2 linked regions of the Saccharomyces cerevisiae S288C genome follow. The protein of the gene in region 1 interacts with the protein of each later gene in a pairwise test. Each region holds a gene or a part of one and is shown in the gene's direction. Other genes may lie near its edges. The genes, in order: YMR051C and VIK1.

The links.
Region 2: the proteins of YMR051C (region 1) and VIK1 interact in a two-hybrid assay, tested with the Saccharomyces cerevisiae proteins (one large-scale study listed by BioGRID).

What each region holds. Positions count from the first base shown.
Region 1 is NC_001145.3:368,807-381,313, reverse strand, and holds YMR051C (gag protein), read left to right. Parts: upstream 1-2,988; coding exon 2,989-4,311; downstream 4,312-12,507. Other genes in the region: STB2 (Stb2p), read left to right, coding at 1-968; FAR3 (Far3p), read right to left, coding at 1,114-1,728; ribosome biogenesis protein ERB1, read left to right, coding at 10,797-12,507.
Region 2 is NC_001148.4:68,259-77,891, reverse strand, and holds VIK1 (Vik1p), read left to right. Parts: upstream 1-4,885; coding exon 4,886-6,829; downstream 6,830-9,633. Other genes in the region: GTPase-activating protein GYP5, read left to right, coding at 1-1,223; 60S ribosomal protein eL36 RPL36B, read left to right, coding at 1,653-1,668, 1,907-2,193; ATG41 (Atg41p), read left to right, coding at 3,173-3,583; YAH1 (adrenodoxin), read left to right, coding at 4,011-4,529; HFI1 (Hfi1p), read right to left, coding at 6,941-8,407; BBP1 (Bbp1p), read right to left, coding at 9,010-9,633. UniProt on the Saccharomyces cerevisiae protein: Together with the minus end-directed microtubule motor KAR3, plays a role in microtubule organization. Recruits KAR3 to microtubules, and together they may stabilize the polymers. The KAR3-VIK1 heterodimer cross-links anti-parallel microtubules.

The sequences.
Region 1 (12,507 bases):
TCGCATACGCTCAAAAGCACGCCTCCAAAAAGGTTAGTTCTTCCAGTCTTGATACATCTGAAGACATAGGGAGGACCAATGCTATGCCCTCATCTGCAACAGTGTCATCAATGTTTCCAAACTACGATAATACCAAATATGCATATAATTTTGGCATCAACAAATTATATCAAGGAGAATACTACCGAAGAAATTCGTTTCCCTATTGTAAAGATCGCACACACGACAACATTTATGAAGATCTTTCAGAGCTGAAGGAAAAGTCATCTCGTTTGTATAGATGCAACTCTTCTTCTGCTGTACAGAATATTGTGGAAAAATGGGATTTACCATTTGATCCATCTGTTGTTCGAATAGCTAGAGATTTGTTACGAATGAAATACGACATCCAAGCGCAGCAACACATACAAGAAATGGATGAGCATTATATGGGTAAATTAAATAAGGAGGGAACTGTTGGTCAGTACTCTAAATTCAACGAAAGATATAAAAGACTGCAAGAACTATATAAGAAGTATTCAGATGGTGCAAAAGTGTTTGAAGGGAGATTTGAAGACATTGACAATAAGCAACAACTTCTTCTCCATGAGATGCAAGAGTTAAATTCCTTATCATCTAGGTTGAAATATGATATGAGGATATTGGAAGTTCGTGTACGAGATATTGAAAGTAGTGTTGCTCAGTTTGATTCCAAATTAATTGGGTTGAAAAGCTCTCTTCAGGGACAGGGTAAAACTGGAATATGCTCTGCAATAGATCCCAAGAGTGATAAAGACGAATATGATAGATGCGTAAATGATTTGATGACCACTAACAACCCCACCTATGAAGCTCTTTGTTTAAAGATGCTGAGCCGCCGTTATTTTAAAGATTTAAAGAATGATACTGTGGGGTGGTTCAGGTGGTTATTTGGTAATAATTCTTTACACAATAATGCCAGTGAAGACGATAGAGGAATACGAGTATGATTTTTTTCGGTTCATCCTAATTTTTTTTTTTTTTCAAAAGGGATCTAAACATTTATCCGTTGTTATAAGTATATTAAAATATATAAATGCATTCAAAGGTTTGCTATTTCACGTCTGCTTACACTTTTGTTCGATCCATCGTAGGCTATTTCAGTACCTGGTACGTGTCTTGCAGGTATTCCAACTGTTTTTTAAAGCGGCTGTAATCTCTGGAATCTTTAGATATACGATCCCAATCCACTTCCTTCAAAAGTTTTTCAAACTGTTTGATAATTGAATGCAATTTTTTTTTTGTTTCTTCATTTTCTGTCTTCAATGACTCGTAATTTTGTTGAAGACTTTTGTTCCTTTCATCAAGCTTCTCTGATGAAAATGTGGCAATATTTCGTTCTCTTATTGCATTCTGTTCGTCGATAAAATTTTTAATATATGAGAAATGCTCATTTATGTTGTTAATTAGCGCAACAGCCTTTGTATTGAAGTACTCTTGTTTTTCAATCTCGTATATGAGTTTAAAATTTTCGCTGATAAGCTTCTGTGCCTCAGTGGGGGGAGATGCTTTTTGAGATGCATTATCTTTCCATGAATCTGGAATTATGTTTTTGCTCAAATTATCATAAGATATTCCTGACTGTTTGGCAAGGCGCTTTAACAATAGTTCTATTCGATCGGTCTCTTGTCTGTTAGCCCGACACTCTGCACTTAAAGCTTTTGTTAATTGAAGAAGATAATCGAAACTATCACTACCACCGCTATTCATATTTGCAAATCACTATATATACTGCTCTGTGCGAACTTATGATGGAAAAAACGAGCAAGAAGTAATAAATCACGGTTTAACTTTCTTCATTAATCGCCGAATGCTAGCCGGAGCTTTGAATGAACCTTTTATTGTGGTTATATTGTTATACAGGTGTCAATATAAACAATAAAAGTTGAAGCGGTGGCTCAATGGTAGAGCTTTCGACTCCAATTAAATCTTGGAAATTCCACGGAATAAGATTGCAATCGAAGGGTTGCAGGTTCAATTCCTGTCCGTTTCAATTTATTTTTTAGCCCTGTGCTTGAGATTATCGTCGACAATGACCAGCTATAAGCTGGCAAGATTGATGCTCTAAAACGCGGGGAATAAAATAATCAAGATGATTAATTGTTGGGATTCCATTGTTGTTAGAGCCTACAATATTAGGTACACAGAATATACTAGAACTTCTTCTCGAGGATGTAGGAATCGTCAAAAGGGAATCGATAGTTTTACGTAACGATATTACTTTATGTTCTTTCTGTTGGAATGAAGCTATAAAATATCATCTGTTCAGTAGTATTCATGCCACTCGTACATTATCATATACAGTGTAAGAAGATGATCTAAACATTGAGAAACAGTCGTAAAATTTAATGGAAGCAGAAATATAAGGATTGATAATGTACTAGGATAATGAAACATACGAAAGGGAGGGAGAAATAATTGTAATTGTATTATATAGGAGTATCGATTCCAATTTGAGGATTGGTATATCTCTCAGGGGAAATTTTATTATATTCTGTACACATAATAAAATAAAGCCCTTGCGAACAATAGAATCCCAACGGTTATCAAATTATTCACAAATTGATCACTTCCTTTTTATACTTTCCCTCTCGCTTCTTATTACATTATCAATCATTGCATTTCAGCTTCCCCTAAATCTGGTGACTGTTTCTCAATCTTTAGATCACCTTCTGTTGGAATAAAAATCCACTATCGTCTATCAACTAATAGTTATATTATCAATATATTATCATATACGGTGTTAAGATGATGACATAAGTTATGAGAAGCTGTCATCGATGTTAGAGGAAGCTGAAACGCAAGGATTGATAATGTAATAGGATCAATGAATATAAACATATAAAACGGAATGAGGAATAATCGTAATATTAGTATGTAGAAATATAGATTCCATTTTGAGGATTCCTATATCCTCGAGGAGAACTTCTAGTATATTCTGTATACCTAATATTATAGCCTTTATCAACAATGGAATCCCAACAATTATCTAATTACCCACATATATCTCATGGTAGCGCCTGTGCTTCGGTTACTTCTAAGGAAGTCCACACAAATCAAGATCCGTTAGACGTTTCAGCTTCCAAAATTCAAGAATATGATAAGGCTTCCACTAAGGCTAACTCTCAACAGACAACAACACCTGCTTCATCAGCTGTTCCAGAGAACCCCCATCATGCCTCTCCTCAACCTGCTTCAGTACCACCTCCACAGAATGGGCCGTACCCACAGCAGTGCATGATGACCCAAAACCAAGCCAATCCATCTGGTTGGTCATTTTACGGACACCCATCTATGATTCCGTATACACCTTATCAAATGTCGCCTATGTACTTTCCACCTGGGCCACAATCACAGTTTCCGCAGTATCCATCATCAGTTGGAACGCCTCTGAGCACTCCATCACCTGAGTCAGGTAATACATTTACTGATTCATCCTCAGCGGACTCTGATATGACATCCACTAAAAAATATGTCAGACCACCACCAATGTTAACCTCACCTAATGATTTTCCAAATTGGGTTAAAACATACATCAAATTTTTACAAAACTCGAATCTCGGTGGTATTATTCCGACAGTAAACGGAAAACCCGTACGTCAGATCACTGATGATGAACTCACCTTCTTGTATAACACTTTTCAAATATTTGCTCCCTCTCAATTCCTACCTACCTGGGTCAAAGACATCCTATCCGTTGATTATACGGATATCATGAAAATTCTTTCCAAAAGTATTGAAAAAATGCAATCTGATACCCAAGAGGCAAACGACATTGTGACCCTGGCAAATTTGCAATATAATGGCAGTACACCTGCAGATGCATTTGAAACAAAAGTCACAAACATTATCGACAGACTGAACAATAATGGCATTCATATCAATAACAAGGTCGCATGCCAATTAATTATGAGAGGTCTATCTGGCGAATATAAATTTTTACGCTACACACGTCATCGACATCTAAATATGACAGTCGCTGAACTGTTCTTAGATATCCATGCTATTTATGAAGAACAACAGGGATCGAGAAACAGCAAACCTAATTACAGGAGAAATCCGAGTGATGAGAAGAATGATTCTCGCAGCTATACGAATACAACCAAACCCAAAGTTATAGCTCGGAATCCTCAAAAAACAAATAATTCGAAATCGAAAACAGCCAGGGCTCACAATGTATCCACATCTAATAACTCTCCCAGCACGGACAACGATTCCATCAGTAAATCAACTACTGAACCGATTCAATTGAACAATAAGCACGACCTTCATCTTAGGCCAGAAACTTACTGAATCTACAGTAAATCATACTAATCATTCTGATGATGAACTCCCTGGACACCTCCTTCTCGATTCAGGAGCATCACGAACCCTTATAAGATCTGCTCATCACATACACTCAGCATCATCTAATCCTGACATAAACGTAGTTGATGCTCAAAAAAGAAATATACCAATTAACGCTATTGGTGACCTACAATTTCACTTCCAGGACAACACCAAAACATCAATAAAGGTATTGCACACTCCTAACATAGCCTATGACTTACTCAGTTTGAATGAATTGGCTGCAGTAGATATCACAGCATGCTTTACCAAAAACGTCTTAGAACGGTCTGACGGCACTGTACTTGCACCTATCGTAAAATATGGAGACTTTTACTGGGTATCTAAAAAGTACTTGCTTCCATCAAATATCTCCGTACCCACCATCAATAATGTCCATACAAGTGAAAGTACACGCAAATATCCTTATCCTTTCATTCATCGAATGCTTGCGCATGCCAATGCACAGACAATTCGATACTCACTTAAAAATAACACCATCACGTATTTTAACGAATCAGATGTCGACTGGTCTAGTGCTATTGACTATCAATGTCCTGATTGTTTAATCGGCAAAAGCACCAAACACAGACATATCAAAGGTTCACGACTAAAATACCAAAATTCATACGAACCCTTTCAATACCTACATACTGACATATTTGGTCCAGTTCACAACCTACCAAAAAGTGCACCATCCTATTTCATCTCATTTACTGATGAGACAACAAAATTCCGTTGGGTTTATCCATTACACGACCGTCGCGAGGACTCTATCCTCGATGTTTTTACTACGATACTAGCTTTTATTAAGAACCAGTTTCAGGCCAGTGTCTTGGTTATACAAATGGACCGTGGTTCTGAGTATACTAACAGAACTCTCCATAAATTCCTTGAAAAAAATGGTATAACTCCATGCTATACAACCACAGCGGATTCCCGAGCACATGGAGTCGCTGAACGGCTCAACCGTACCTTATTAGATGACTGCCGTACTCAACTGCAATGTAGTGGTTTACCGAACCATTTATGGTTCTCTGCAATCGAATTTTCTACTATTGTGAGAAATTCACTAGCTTCACCTAAAAGCAAAAAATCTGCAAGACAACATGCTGGCTTGGCAGGACTTGATATCAGTACTTTGTTACCTTTCGGTCAACCTGTTATCGTCAATGATCACAACCCTAACTCCAAAATACATCCTCGTGGCATCCCAGGCTACGCTCTACATCCGTCTCGAAACTCTTATGGATATATCATCTATCTTCCATCCTTAAAGAAGACAGTAGATACAACTAACTATGTTATTCTTCAGGGCAAGGAATCCAGATTAGATCAATTCAATTACGACGCACTCACTTTCGATGAAGACTTAAACCGTTTAACTGCTTCATATCAATCGTTCATTGCGTCAAATGAGATCCAACAATCCGATGATCTTAACATAGAATCTGACCATGACTTCCAATCTGACATCGAACTACATCCTGAGCAACCGAGAAATGTCCTTTCAAAAGCTGTGAGTCCAACCGATTCCACACCTCCGTCAACTCATACTGAAGATTCGAAACGTGTTTCTAAAACCAATATTCGCGCACCCAGAGAAGTTGACCCCAACATATCTGAATCTAATATTCTTCCATCAAAGAAGAGATCTAGCACCCCCCAAATTTCCAATATCGAGAGTACCGGTTCGGGTGGTATGCATAAATTAAATGTTCCTTTACTTGCTCCCATGTCCCAATCTAACACACATGAGTCGTCGCACGCCAGTAAATCTAAAGATTTCAGACACTCAGACTCGTACAGTGAAAATGAGACTAATCATACAAACGTACCAATATCCAGTACGGGTGGTACCAACAACAAAACTGTTCCGCAGATAAGTGACCAAGAGACTGAGAAAAGGATTATACACCGTTCACCTTCAATCGATGCTTCTCCACCGGAAAATAATTCATCGCACAATATTGTTCCTATCAAAACGCCAACTACTGTTTCTGAACAGAATACCGAGGAATCTATCATCGCTGATCTCCCACTCCCTGATCTACCTCCAGAATCTCCTACCGAATTCCCTGACCCATTTAAAGAACTCCCACCGATCAATTCTCGTCAAACTAATTCCAGTTTGGGTGGTATTGGTGACTCTAATGCCTATACTACTATCAACAGTAAGAAAAGATCATTAGAAGATAATGAAACTGAAATTAAGGTATCACGAGACACATGGAATACTAAGAATATGCGTAGTTTAGAACCTCCGAGATCGAAGAAACGAATTCACCTGATTGCAGCTGTAAAAGCAGTAAAATCAATCAAACCAATACGGACAACCTTACGATACGATGAGGCAATCACCTATAATAAAGATATTAAAGAAAAAGAAAAATATATCCAGGCATACCACAAAGAAGTCAATCAACTGTTGAAGATGAAAACTTGGGACACTGACAGATATTATGACAGAAAAGAAATAGACCCCAAAAGAGTAATAAATTCAATGTTTATCTTTAACAGGAAACGTGACGGTACTCATAAAGCTAGATTTGTTGCAAGAGGTGATATTCAACATCCTGACACTTACGACCCAGGCATGCAATCCAATACCGTACATCACTATGCATTAATGACATCCCTGTCACTTGCATTAGACAATAACTACTATATTACACAATTAGACATATCTTCGGCATATTTGTATGCAGACATCAAAGAAGAACTATACATAAGACCTCCACCACATTTAGGAATGAATGATAAGTTAATACGTTTGAAGAAATCACTTTATGGATTGAAACAAAGTGGAGCGAACTGGTACGAAACTATCAAATCATACCTGATAAAACAGTGTGGTATGGAAGAAGTTCGTGGATGGTCATGCGTATTTAAGAATAGTCAAGTAACAATTTGCTTATTCGTTGATGATATGATATTGTTCAGCAAAGACTTAAATGCAAATAAGAAAATCATAACAACACTCAAGAAACAATACGATACAAAGATAATAAATCTGGGTGAAAGTGATAACGAAATTCAGTACGACATACTTGGCTTAGAAATCAAATATCAAAGAGGTAAATACATGAAATTAGGTATGGAAAACTCATTAACTGAAAAAATACCCAAACTAAACGTACCTTTGAACCCAAAAGGAAGGAAACTTAGCGCTCCAGGTCAACCAGGTCTATATATAGACCAGCAAGAACTAGAGCTAGAAGAAGATGATTACAAAATGAAGGTACATGAAATGCAAAAGCTGATAGGTCTAGCATCATATGTTGGATATAAATTTAGATTTGACCTATTATACTACATCAACACACTTGCACAACATATACTATTTCCGTCCAAGCAAGTGTTAGATATGACATATGAATTGATACAGTTCATATGGAATACGAGAGATAAGCAATTAATATGGCACAAAAGCAAACCTGTTAAGCCAACAAATAAATTAGTTGTTATAAGCGATGCATCGTATGGTAACCAACCGTATTATAAATCACAAATTGGCAACATATATTTACTTAATGGAAAAGTAATTGGAGGAAAGTCCACCAAGGCTTCATTAACATGTACTTCAACTACGGAAGCAGAAATACACGCGATAAGTGAATCTGTCCCATTATTAAATAACCTCAGTCACCTTGTGCAAGAACTTAACAAGAAACCAATTACTAAAGGATTACTAACCGACAGTAAATCTACAATCAGTATAATTATATCCAATAATGAAGAGAAATTTAGAAACAGATTTTTTGGTACTAAAGCAATGAGACTAAGAGATGAAGTATCAGGAAATCATCTGCACGTATGCTATATCGAAACCAAAAAGAATATTGCAGACGTAATGACCAAACCTCTTCCGATAAAAACATTCAAACTATTAACAAACAAATGGATTCATTAGATCTATTACATTATGGGTGGTATGTTGGAATAAAAATCCACTATCGTCTATCAACTAATAGTTATATTATCAATATATTATCATATACGGTGTTAAGATGATGACATAAGTTATGAGAAGCTGTCATCGATGTTAGAGGAAGCTGAAACGCAAGGATTGATAATGTAATAGGATCAATGAATATAAACATATAAAACGGAATGAGGAATAATCGTAATATTAGTATGTAGAAATATAGATTCCATTTTGAGGATTCCTATATCCTCGAGGAGAACTTCTAGTATATTCTGTATACCTAATATTATAGCCTTTATCAACAATGGAATCCCAACAATTATCTAATTACCCACATATATCTCACCTTCTTACACTGTATATGATAATATATTAATATTAAACCAGTCAATAAATGTAATTGATTATTTCAACACGAAAACCTAACTATCAACGATATCACATAGAACAGCGAAGAGTTAGAAGATTTATTAGAAGATTTATTAGTATAGGTTATTTTAGATGCAATTTTTCAATAAAACCTGGTTTCGTGGTCTAGTCGGTTATGGCATCTGCTTAACACGCAGAACGTCCCCAGTTCGATCCTGGGCGAAATCATTTTTTTAGCACTTTAGCAGCATATTGCGGTATCGAATCATCTTCATGAATGGCGCAGATTTATTTGAACTGTTCAATCATAAATTAACCTTATGTGAATAGTCTGGGTAGGTTGAAACTTCGGAAATCACTTGCTTTTCTGAGGGCTGCGCGTAATCTAGATAGATCTACCTAAATGACACCGATGGCAACTTCAAGCTATACTAACTCCTAGACATTACTTTCTTCAGTATTCCCTTAGTGCCTGTTTTGAGCTATGAGATTGGTATTATTATTTGAAATATCTTCTATTGCGGTATCTGATTTTATATTTCTAGCTTTGTCATAAAATATAAAATACACAAATATATATATAGAGATAAGATAGATTATTTTTGATGACTTGCAAGTTGCACTAGGATTTGTTTTTCTTCTAAAAACCCCTTAAAGGTATTTCCAGAGAAAATATTATGCTGGTTATTCGATACTATTATCCAGTATACACTGACCTATGTTATAAGCAAAGGTTCTTCGTTCTGCCTCTTTAACAGGTGGAGTGCGTGCCATTATCATCAATGAAAGTTTAACATGTAATTGTCATCAGCTGTATACTGTTCGAATCTGTTCATTACGAAGGTTTAACTTCAAAAATCGAAAAGAAAAAAAATAGAAGATAAGAATATTGCATAGATCCTTCTTTTTTAGTGAAGTCACCGAATAATACATATAATGAAGTTAAAATTACAAACCGTGCAAAAACACCGCTGATTTAGAGTGGGCGATTTCATAGATCAAAAAGCAGGCTAAATATGAATTGAAAATTAAGTAGTCTACTATTTTCTGACAGCAGTGGCGCGCGACGGTTTCCAGGAAGTTTATTATTCAACGTGTCCAATTTTCACACGCTGCTTGACATCGTTATTCCCTGAACGCATTTTTACACTGTATGCGCAATTTGAGCCACTTTGATGGACTATTATGTATGAATAGCTTAGCTTAAAGAAGTAACAGTAGAGTGTTGAACCTTTAAGTGCTTGATGTACTCGAGCCTTTTTCTATGATACCTCACTCCAGAAAAAAGCGTTTAACATATCTGGCATTGAGGGTGGTCTCAAACAATAAAAGTATCCTATTTAATATTTTAACATTGCTGATAACCTAAAAAATCTGAACGTTGCCAGCATAAAACCTCAGCTTTATATCGTACTGAATAACATACTTACTGCAGGGCGAAATTTTTCTCAAATTGTGCCTAAATCGTTAAGTTACTAAACTTTTACGCGCAGTACTGGCATTGAGCGATCAATATTGTTTAATGCGTAGTGACGATCTTCTCCACTTATATTTTTTTATTCGTAGTTCTCTATTTTCGTTTCGATTTGTTTTCTCTGTCTACCAGATTAAAAGTGATTTGAAGTTTTTTATCATGAACTAAACAATAAAATTACAAAAAAAAAAAGTCAGCGTCACCAAGGATTGCTACCAATATACGACTTTACTGCTGTATTATCGAATTTTACCTTCTAGGATATTATGTAAAGTCTCTAGCAAAGGGAGAAAACTAATGTTACTAGGACTGAAGAACATTTTCCTCTTATAGTGTAAAATTGATTTTGACAAGAATATAATTAATACATTTTTTTTCTTTTGATAGCAGTATTGAGTACAATGAATTGAGCATTCAAGGTTCAACATGTGATAGTAGCTCTACCGCTAGTATGTTATTGCTAATTAAGTAGGATTGAATTGTCGCGATTTTGTCATTTTGGGTTTTAATAACTCTTGTACGGGTTACCCCATTTGTTTTTGAAGATTAGTGAAAAATTATTGAAAATTTTTTTTTTTTTGGTTTTGCGATGAGCTTATAATTTACATATGTGATATATTCGCATATAGATCCTAGCGAAGAAAGGTACTGTATTAAATCTGTTCTAACATAACTAGGTCAATGATGGCTAAGAACAACAAAACTACCGAGGCAAAGATGTCGAAAAAGAGAGCAGCTAGCGAAGAATCTGATGTCGAGGAAGATGAGGACAAGCTTTTATCCGTTGACGGTTTGATCGATGCGGAAGCAAGTGAGAGTGACGAGGATGATGACGAATACGAGTCTGCCGTTGAAGAAAAGGAATCATCTTCTGATAAAGAAGCCCAAGATGATTCTGATGATGACTCCGATGCTGAATTAAACAAACTGCTTGCCGAAGAAGAAGGTGATGGGGAAGAGGACTATGACAGTTCTGAGTTTTCAGACGACACAACTTCCTTAACAGACAGATTATCGGGTGTGAAATTGCAAACGATCGTTGATCCGAATATTTACTCAAAATATGCAGATGGCAGTGATAGAATTATCAAACCTGAAATTAATCCAGTTTATGATAGCGATGATAGTGATGCCGAAACGCAAAATACCATTGGTAATATTCCACTTTCTGCATACGATGAAATGCCACACATTGGATACGATATCAACGGTAAAAGGATTATGAGACCTGCCAAGGGTTCTGCTTTAGATCAACTGTTGGATTCTATCGAGCTACCTGAAGGCTGGACTGGTTTACTGGACAAGAATTCCGGTTCAAGTTTGAACTTAACCAAAGAGGAATTAGAACTTATTTCCAAAATCCAAAGGAACGAACAAACTGATGATAGCATAAATCCATACGAACCGTTAATCGATTGGTTCACGAGACACGAAGAAGTGATGCCATTAACTGCTGTTCCGGAGCCAAAAAGAAGATTTGTTCCATCCAAAAACGAAGCCAAGAGAGTTATGAAAATTGTAAGAGCTATCAGAGAGGGCCGTATTATTCCTCCTAAAAAATTAAAGGAAATGAAAGAAAAGGAAAAAATTGAAAACTATCAATACGATTTATGGGGTGATTCTACGGAAACAAATGATCATGTAATGCATCTAAGGGCACCAAAATTACCTCCACCAACTAATGAAGAGAGTTATAATCCACCAGAAGAGTATCTTTTGTCTCCTGAAGAAAAGGAGGCCTGGGAAAATACTGAATATAGTGAAAGAGAAAGAAACTTCATACCTCAAAAGTATTCTGCCTTAAGAAAGGTCCCTGGTTACGGTGAATCTATTAGGGAAAGATTTGAAAGATCTTTGGATTTATATTTAGCTCCTCGTGTCCGTAAAAACAAATTGAATATTGATCCTAATTCTCTAATTCCAGAACTTCCCTCTCCCAAGGATTTAAGACCCTTCCCTATTCGTTGCTCAACAATATACGCTGGTCACAAAGGAAAAGTACGCACATTATCCATTGATCCTTCTGGATTATGGCTAGCAACAGGATCTGATGACGGAACAGTCAGGGTATGGGAAATTTTAACTGGTAGAGAAGTTTATAGAACTACTTTAATCGATGACGAGGAAAACCCAGATTACCACATTGAATGCATTGAATGGAATCCTGATGCTAATAATGGTATTCTCGCCGTTGCTGTTGGTGAAAACATTCATTTAATAGTACCACCAATATTCGGCTACGATATTGAAAATAACGGCAAAACTAAGATTGAAGATGGTTTTGGCTACGATACTTTTGGGACTGTTAAAAAATCTAACCTAGAAGTGAACGAGAATGGTGATGGCGATGAAGATGGAGAGAATGAATCTGCTAAGAATGCTGTAAAAAAAC
Region 2 (9,633 bases), on another chromosome or scaffold:
CAACAATACGTAGAGATTTAAGGAGAACGAAGTTTGTGGCCGAGGACAAAATGGAGTCACTATACAAGGTAATAAAGGTGTATTCTGTTTATGATCCAGATGTTGGGTACACGCAAGGCATGGGGTTCATTGCAGCGCCGCTATTAATAAACTGTGAAAACGAGGCCGAATCTTTTGGACTACTCGTTGGATTAATGAAGAATTATGGATTAAGAGAGCTTTTCTTACCAGGAATGCCTGGGCTGATGTTAATGCTTTATCAATTTGATAGATTATTAGAGGAGCATTCACCTTCTTTGTACAATCGCTTGATCCGTGAGGGAATTAGCTCCACAATGTACGCTACACAATGGTTTTTGACATTTTTCGCATACAAGTTTCCGTTAGAGTTTGTGTTAAGAATTTTTGATATTGTATTCGTAGAGGGTATTGAAGTGCTTTTGAAGTTTGCTGTAAATTTAATGTTAAAGAATGAAGAAACTTTAGTAAAATTGAGATTCGATGAACTATTGGATTTTTTAAAGGACGAACTCTTCAATTACTATTTAATGGGAAACCAGGATGACGCTTCTGTAGTGCAAATGGGATTGTCAAATGGGAACTCATTTAAGGGCAATGATGACGGCACTTTTTCCTACAATGTCGATCTTTTCGTTCATGATGCAATGACAGGTGTATATATCACACCATTAACATTAAGAAGATACAGGGGAGAGTACGTAGAAATCCATGAAAAAGAGCAAAAAAAAGAGGACCACTACGAATCACTAAGAATTCAAAACCACCAACTACAAAGAGAGGCGCAGAAGCTAGAACACGACTATTCAATTTTGAACAAAGAGAATATCAGCGCCGCTAACGAGCTGATTCAGAACAGATTGAATATGGAGATGCTGTTGGATGAAAAAAACGACCTGATAAATACAATCACTGATATCAAAAGCCAAATTGAGGAAGAGATTCGCAAGCAAAATTTACCGAACCCGGACGCGTCACTACCAAAGGCAGATCTGAGAGAAGACTTGGAAAGGACCATATCCAGGAACAATGAGGTGATGAGGGAGAACGGCCAATTAGAGGAAAGAATCACTGAACTGCAAGCGGAAATCGATGAGTTGATTAACATCAATAAGGAGCAAGTGTCCACGGCATCGTTATTGGAACGAGATTCTAAGGCTAAAGGGAGGAAAGGCTGGACTGGTTTTAAAAAAGTTTTTAAATAGATGTATAGTTTTGCGCTGTGTGCACATTGTGTGCCTCTCCAATTTGTGTTAAAAAATGCATCACGACTCGTTTAGACAATGTTGTTGTTGTTGTTTTTTTTTTGACTGTATTTTCACCCGTACATCCACGGATGTGTTGGGTTTTTGTTTCCGCTTTACCGTGCGGGAGACGACCATGACCGAGAGGTCTGGTTGCGAAAGACGCACATACCGCGTGCGCGGAACTTTTTCATTGGGTTGCCAACCAAGGCTGTTCAGGGAAGCCCGACGAGGGAAGCTAGCATGAATGCACTAGGAGAGAGAGAGAGAGAGAGGCAGAGGAAGAGGCACATCATTGCATTTCTTGAATATTCGTTTTAATTAGCGTTAAGTCTTAAGTTCGTGTATTACCATAGTCAAAACAGAATAGAGAAGCAAGGATAATACAAAATGGCTGTCAAGACTGGTATGTTTACCTGAACTAATGAACTGTAGAGCAAAAGCAAAATGAACTGAACCACTAAGCCAACAACAGAAATACAAACAGGATGAGATTAAGCTCCAGAGATATGCAAACATCGTTTATATCCTGCACCCAGCGTTGCAGTACTCCGTGGAGTCTTTGTTTATTTATTTTGCTCGTATACTACGTGAGTACTAGTGTGCTTGTTACTAACATAAGATATTCTATTTTTTTCCTCTAGGTATCGCTATTGGTTTGAACAAGGGTAAGAAAGTCACCCAAATGACTCCAGCCCCAAAGATCTCCTACAAGAAGGGTGCTGCCTCCAACAGAACCAAGTTCGTCAGATCTTTGGTTAGAGAAATCGCCGGTTTGTCCCCATATGAAAGAAGATTGATCGATTTGATCAGAAACTCCGGTGAAAAGAGAGCCAGAAAGGTCGCCAAGAAGAGATTGGGTTCTTTCACCAGAGCCAAGGCTAAGGTCGAAGAAATGAACAACATCATTGCTGCCTCTCGTCGTCATTAAACAGCGTGAGGGGGCCACAGTCAAGCAAATCCAACTCCGCCACAAGACCGAGTGCTATTTTCCATGGCTCTCCCCCAAAGCTAGTTAATAAAAAATAAGTAACAAATCATTATAGTAATTCTTAATCGATATCTATTTAAGAAGTGTAACAGCACATGCAATGAACCGACTTCGTCATTCATTACCTCTGCTTTTCCCTTTTTCAACAGTCACGTGCGCATCTCCCTTCCGGGTAAGCACCGCACATGCCAAAGACCCTATCCTGGCTCGCCCACTCACTCATCTCCATTAGAGACTCAACCACATTTGTGGGTGTGTTACAGAAGTTACACCATACCCACTGTCCTGGTCCGCAACAGTTGCAAAATCAATGATGCCTGCTACCGTCATGCTATCATGACAAACGATGGCACCTTTGCCAAGCAAAAAACTGTAAACAAAACCAAACCAAGAAGTCCCTTGGGGTTGTGAGCCATATTCTCCATCTGCGTTGTTTCATAACCAGCCCAAAGGGTTGCACGTTCTCTTCCGTCGATCTGGAACCAAGCTGTGGCGCTGCGTGGAACCGTCCGGAAATCTACAGAAGCCGTTAGAAGAAAACAGAATAAACACACGTGACCCCGTCAGTGTGGAAAGCCGCGGGATCACCACCGTTATTCGTTTTTTTTAGCACGCGCGCGAAGATGACACATTGCACACCACATGTTTATGACCATTGTTATTACTCATTTCACTGTTATTTTGCATCCACATCCACACCCGGGTGGTTTTGCAATTCGGTAATTACTCCACGGTGCATAAAGAAGCGGCTCTGCGTAAAAAGGTATATATAAGAACAGGACTCATCTTGATTTCGGAAAGGGTCTGGAGCAACTCTCTTTCTTTCTTACTTGTTTTATTCTTGAGAAAACCAAACTAAATTGGCTACACCAAACCAACCAAACTTACACACAATAATATACAATTACAATTATTTACAATGTCCTCTGTGGAATCTTCCCCCATCTCGCGCTATGAAGACGAGGTCTTCCCTCTTTCGTTTTCAAACGTTGCTTTCGAGCCCCCTATGCTCTCGCATAGCCCGGACAGATCGACTTATGCCGATGACTTTTCTCAATCTTACCAGCAAGAATTGCTAACTTTTCCGCTATCGTACCCGATTGTCGATGAGTCAGAATGCACGCACACTAAAGATAAGACGGACAGCAACATAATAACGAGTACTGAAGACGATTGCATGTTCGATATGGAATTTAACGGCAACGCCGCCAGTGCAGTTGCTGCTGCTAGTAAGGAATCTAACTCTGCCTCTGGGTTTGCCTTTGCAAGTAACGATGCCTTTGCCAATGTCGCACAACAGAACTACAGACTGTGGTTGTCATCGGTATGACGCATTTTACCACATCTCTACTTGTTCTCACGACCCCTTGCATCGCATATCCTACACATTTTAAATCGGCATTCCTTCCAAGCATATTCTTAATTCCTAATTTTACATAGTTTTTTTTTTTTTTTAGAGAAAATAACAACAATATACATAGAACTTACTTACTCAATTCTACTATATCTTTTTTTTTTGTTACTATTAGTCATGTTTGCATGACTCCATTACATTTTCGTTTTTTTGCTAGCCAATTCTGGTCGTCGGAAAAACTTTTCATTGAATCTTTCAAAGCGTGTAGCAGTTGCATTTTTTTAAAAATGAATATGTATGCAAAATATATATATGTATATATATGCCTAATATACATAATAATAGAAAAAAAAAACCTCATACGAAATAGGCGCTTCTCGTATCTATACTCAACCCGCCCCCAATGCTGAAAATTGTTACTCGGGCTGGACACACAGCTAGAATATCGAACATCGCAGCACATCTTTTACGCACCTCTCCATCTCTGCTCACACGCACCACCACAACCACAAGATTTCTGCCCTTCTCTACGTCTTCGTTCTTAAACCATGGCCATTTGAAAAAACCGAAACCAGGCGAAGAACTGAAGATAACTTTTATTCTGAAGGATGGCTCCCAGAAGACGTACGAAGTCTGTGAGGGCGAAACCATCCTGGACATCGCTCAAGGTCACAACCTGGACATGGAGGGCGCATGCGGCGGTTCTTGTGCCTGCTCCACCTGTCACGTCATCGTTGATCCAGACTACTACGATGCCCTGCCGGAACCTGAAGATGATGAAAACGATATGCTCGATCTTGCTTACGGGCTAACAGAGACAAGCAGGCTTGGGTGCCAGATTAAGATGTCAAAAGATATCGATGGGATTAGAGTCGCTCTGCCCCAGATGACAAGAAACGTTAATAACAACGATTTTAGTTAATGTCTGCATTTTTACCCCTCATTTGTGCCCCCAATTTCTCCTGTGAATAATCTATATATATATATTTATAATTATAATTATAAGGAAACAAGTCAACTTTATAATATACTCTTAAACAATCGTTTCGCGATATCCTCTGTCATGCCTCCACTGCCAGGTCTTTATTGTTTAGTCTCAATAATCGCAATTAAGTTAATAATATTTGCAATTGCGGCAAAGAAAAAATAGGTAAACAAAGAACTGAAAAAACAAAAAAAACAAAAAAACAATGAATATAGAATATGAAATGCCCTAACAACACACACATACACACACATTCTCCTCGCAAAAGCACCATTTCCTGACCAGTGTACTTTATGGCGTCACAGCAAAACAAACACGCTTTTCTTTCAAAGAATAGAATCTTTCACAATCCCGATAATGTGTCCTCATCAAAATCTCGAAACCTTATGGATATCACAAACACGACAAACACCATGAATGGCTCTAGACCTTCGTCTATGAAGAGTTCATTGGCTCTTCCACCCGTAAAGGATTCCTTCCCATCTGTATCTCGATCTGCATCATTAAACATCAACATGAGCAAAATTAAGGACTTAAAAGACCGCCAAGACAAAATAAGGTTCCAAAGACATACTCTCAGGACTCAATTGATTGAGTGCGAAAGAGAAATCAAAACCATCAAGTTTCGAGATCTCAATAAGTCCAGGTTTGAACTTTATAAGAAAAAATCCAAACAAGCAAAGTATCTCAAACAGGTTAGAGATTTGACGCAAAATCTGAACTCCAAGGACGGTGAACGCGCTGATTTAATTAAGAAGAACAAATCCGCTTTGGCAACCTTGCAGGCTGAACTCGACCAGAATCTGATCTTGAAAAGGCAGGAATCTCAAGAATTGTACAATAATAAGCTTATCTTTTGGGAAAATGAGCTGCAAATAATGGAAAATGTCGAGCCTGACCACGAAATCACAGAGGAAATATCTCAGTTGAAGAAAACGCTGCAAGAGCTCAACATAAATTGGGCGAATTTACAGAAGCAAAACTTGGAAAGACAAGTAAACCACGAATCACAATTGAGGAAGGATTTTATTGCATTCAAAGAAGCTAAGTTAAAATCCATGGAAAATTTGACAAACAAACATCGTGAATTACTTGATCAGATAGCCACTCTACAATCGGAAAGTGAGAAGTTACACAAGGAGATCATGGATATAGATAGACAAGCTGAATATTCGGAACAAAACATCTCAGAAATAAATGAAAATATAAAACAATTGGAATTGGCAAACAACCCACTAATAAGCAAATCCTTACAAAACTCGCAAGATTTGGAACATTTACAAAACCAAATGGAAAATTTGAAAGAAATGGCCTCTAAACAGGAAAAATTTTATAATGATACCTATAACACTGTGGAAAAAGAACTCCTGCGGAGTAGGAGACTTGAAAACTCTATTATTGAACAAAAAGGCACGATGCGCTGTTACGCTTACGTGATGGAGCAAAATTTGCCTGAGAACCTTTTATTTGATTACGAAAATGGCGTAATAACCCAAGGTCTAAGCGAACATGTTTACAAATTTAATAGGGTGATACCGCATTTAAAAGTTTCTGAAGATAAATTTTTCACTCAAGAGTATAGCGTTTACCATGATATGTGCCTGAACCAAAAAAAAAATTTCAACTTAATATCTCTAAGCACCACTCCACATGGCTCATTGAGAGAGTCTCTAATAAAATTTTTGGCCGAAAAGGATACAATATATCAAAAACAATATGTGATCACCTTACAGTTTGTATTTTTATCAGATGACGAATTTTCTCAGGACATGCTCTTGGATTATTCCCACAATGATAAAGATAGCATAAAGTTGAAATTTGAAAAACACTCAATTTCTTTGGATTCCAAACTTGTCATCATAGAAAATGGACTCGAAGATTTGCCCTTAAATTTTAGTTGTGATGAACACCCAAATTTACCTCATTCTGGGATGGGTATAATCAAGGTGCAGTTTTTTCCTCGAGATTCAAAAAGCGATGGCAACAATGACCCCGTACCGGTGGACTTTTATTTTATCGAGTTAAATAATCTGAAGTCCATTGAACAGTTTGATAAAAGCATCTTTAAGAAGGAATCATGCGAGACCCCTATTGCACTTGTTCTGAAAAAACTAATTTCTGATACTAAATCCTTTTTCTTGCTAAACTTGAACGATTCAAAAAATGTCAATAAATTATTAACGATTTCAGAAGAAGTTCAAACACAACTTTGTAAAAGAAAGAAAAAGCTCACTTAAGCTCGGTCACATTATCGTCTTTCTTAACACAGCCATTTAGATATGAAACAAATAAGGTTTATAATCTTTCAATATAATTACAACATACCGCATACACACACTTTTTATACATCAATCTTCCGTTAAGATTCCTTTAATTAACCAATTTAATTCATGCCTTGTACCAACGTTTCTTTCATCCAAAGGCGTGAAAGTCGGCTTTTCATTTAAGAAGTCCGGCAAGTCGTCAATATTGCTCTTCATATCTACTAGTTCATCATCGTTAACTAGCCCTAAATTAGTTAACGCATAGTATGAACCTGAAGGTTCAACCAAATTCGGAAATATAGATAACGAATCATATATGTCTTCATTCGTTAATGATATCGTTCTGTTTTCATGTAACTCCTCATTAACTGCTTCGCCAGCCTTTGTAATGCTGCTCATTGATATGTCGCCAATATCGTCCTTGCTACTGTTATTGCCGTTATTAATACTTTTGGCTTCATCGGCACATTCATCCTCATTTTTATCATCATCTAACTGCTTAATTTTGGCATCGCGTTTATCAGCAGCCATTTCTGATACGGATTTATAAAGCCCACTCTCATTCAAATCATAATAATCTGAATATTTCTTCCTTCTATAACGAACTGTATCAATAGTAAACTCTATTATATTTTTTAGATATTGATCTAGGGCCAATGATATAAGCTCTACGCAACGTGCGTCCACTGTGCCGACTAACCCATGTTCTCTTGCTATACCAACCATTCTTAAGTAAAACGAATCCGTGTCTGGTAAAGAATGGCTTTCGCTCGCTAAAGGAACGTTGAATCCATTCATTATATCTTGTGACCATTCCAGCGGCGTTTTTAAATTATTGCTCTTGACACGCTTCAAACTTTCTGGATTGGTTACAATGGGAATTTTGGGTATATTATTTAATCTGGCTTGAAATACAGAGCAAAAAATGAAGCCTCTTTTGCCGGCCTCTTTCGTGATCATTTTAAGTCTATTTCGATCATTTAGAGGTAACGACATGACAATTTTTTTATAGACTTCAATTTGAGAGTTATGCTTATTGATTCTTTTTAGTTTATTGTTTGGATTGTTGCTTCCATTGCCAAATCCCCAAGAACTCTCATTACCGTTTCTCCCAAGAGGGTTTTCACGTAATGAATTAGCAAAAATCCCTAATAAAAGTTGGTTATGAAGTCGTACTAAACTATGGTGATGATTTGTATTTGATTTTTCTAAGCTTGCAGCGCTTGGTGAAAATACCAGCTCTAATTCATTAGAAAGTTCCTTTCTGGATAACTTCCCTAAAATGAAAAGACTGATGATCTGAGCATATTTCGTCCAGCTTTCTTTTCCCAATAGTGAGGTTAATTCTTCGATCATGGCACCCAAATCAATTCTCTGATTTGGTCCCTGAGGCTCCGCAGTTTCATTGTTACCATTGTTAGGCTCGGTATGATTACTGACGGCAGGACTACCAATTAGGCCCGGCTTCATATATGCATTCGTGGAAGCTGGCGAAGCAGCTGGATAAGTTGGCTGCAGAGGTTTAGGTGCTGGCGATTGTATAGCTGACATGATAGAAGAAATCAAAACTACTGGGCTTGTTTTCCCTATATTTTTATTGAATTTTTATTACCACTTATAGCTCAAAATTTATACTGTGGGAAAAATCACGTGCGAGAAAGTAAGCCCTATCCAATGATGATAACGAACAGACGAATGAAAAGAGCAACGATACTTTGTTAATCTGTTGTAAGTTCGATGTTCAAGGCACAAGTAGACAGAGACAATTTCGCGTTGCACCTACTTCTATCCTGAATTTTATCTTTTTTATTTTAACAAATTTATGTCACATCGTAACTTCAAGTTTCACTTTTTTTGTTCAAAATCGCAACCTGATAATGAAGAAAAAATGGGCGGGAATTACAGCTCGTGTTGAGTGATGATAATAAGAACGTATCTTTTTTTATTCCGTTATCTATATAATGTACATACCTAAGTAGTTAACACATTATCATTGCTATCATGACGTATTTTTAATGTTACAGTGGGAGAAACGTGTCAGCTTTTCTGCTTCAGCGTTCTATGAATCCGTCTATATTTTTTAAGTAATCAGTGTCCCATGAATGCGAATTAGAGTCGTAACTGTTATTTCCATTGTGGAATGGAGTCCTGTCCTATTGTCCTGTTGAAAAAATATTCGAACCAGCAGAAGTATCTTTTCTCTCGTTATTACGAAGGCTAAGCTGTAATAATAAATCATGTATTTCGGATTCATAATTGTCCCGCTGCATGTCCTTTTCTATTTGCAAATTGGTATATTTCAGCTCTAAATCGGATAGTCTTTGCTTCAATGTTTGTATTTCAAAGTTTTTCAAATCCTCCTCCTGATACAGCCGTTCCCTAGAAGTGGCCAGTTCAGCCTCATGACTGATCGTTTGATCAAGGACCTTTTTCAAACTCTTGTACTTCTGACCTAATGAATAATAATTTTCAAAGAGTGTCTTAGATTTCTTCAACTCGTTGACCAGTTCTGCTCTCATTTCCTCGTATGCTTGCTTATAAGTTTGCTCATTCCTGTGGAATTGCTCACGCTGCTCTCTAACATCCTCACACAAATCTTCCAGGTCTCTACTGTTCAAGTCCATTTGTGCAAAAAGATCAAAATATGCCTTTTTATACTCTCTATTCTTGTGGCAAGCATCTTCGTCCCGGACATAGTAATTGTCTATTTCATCACGTTTTGTTAAGGGAGATGGAAATTTGCCTGGTATATCTTTAACCGATAACTTATAGGGCGA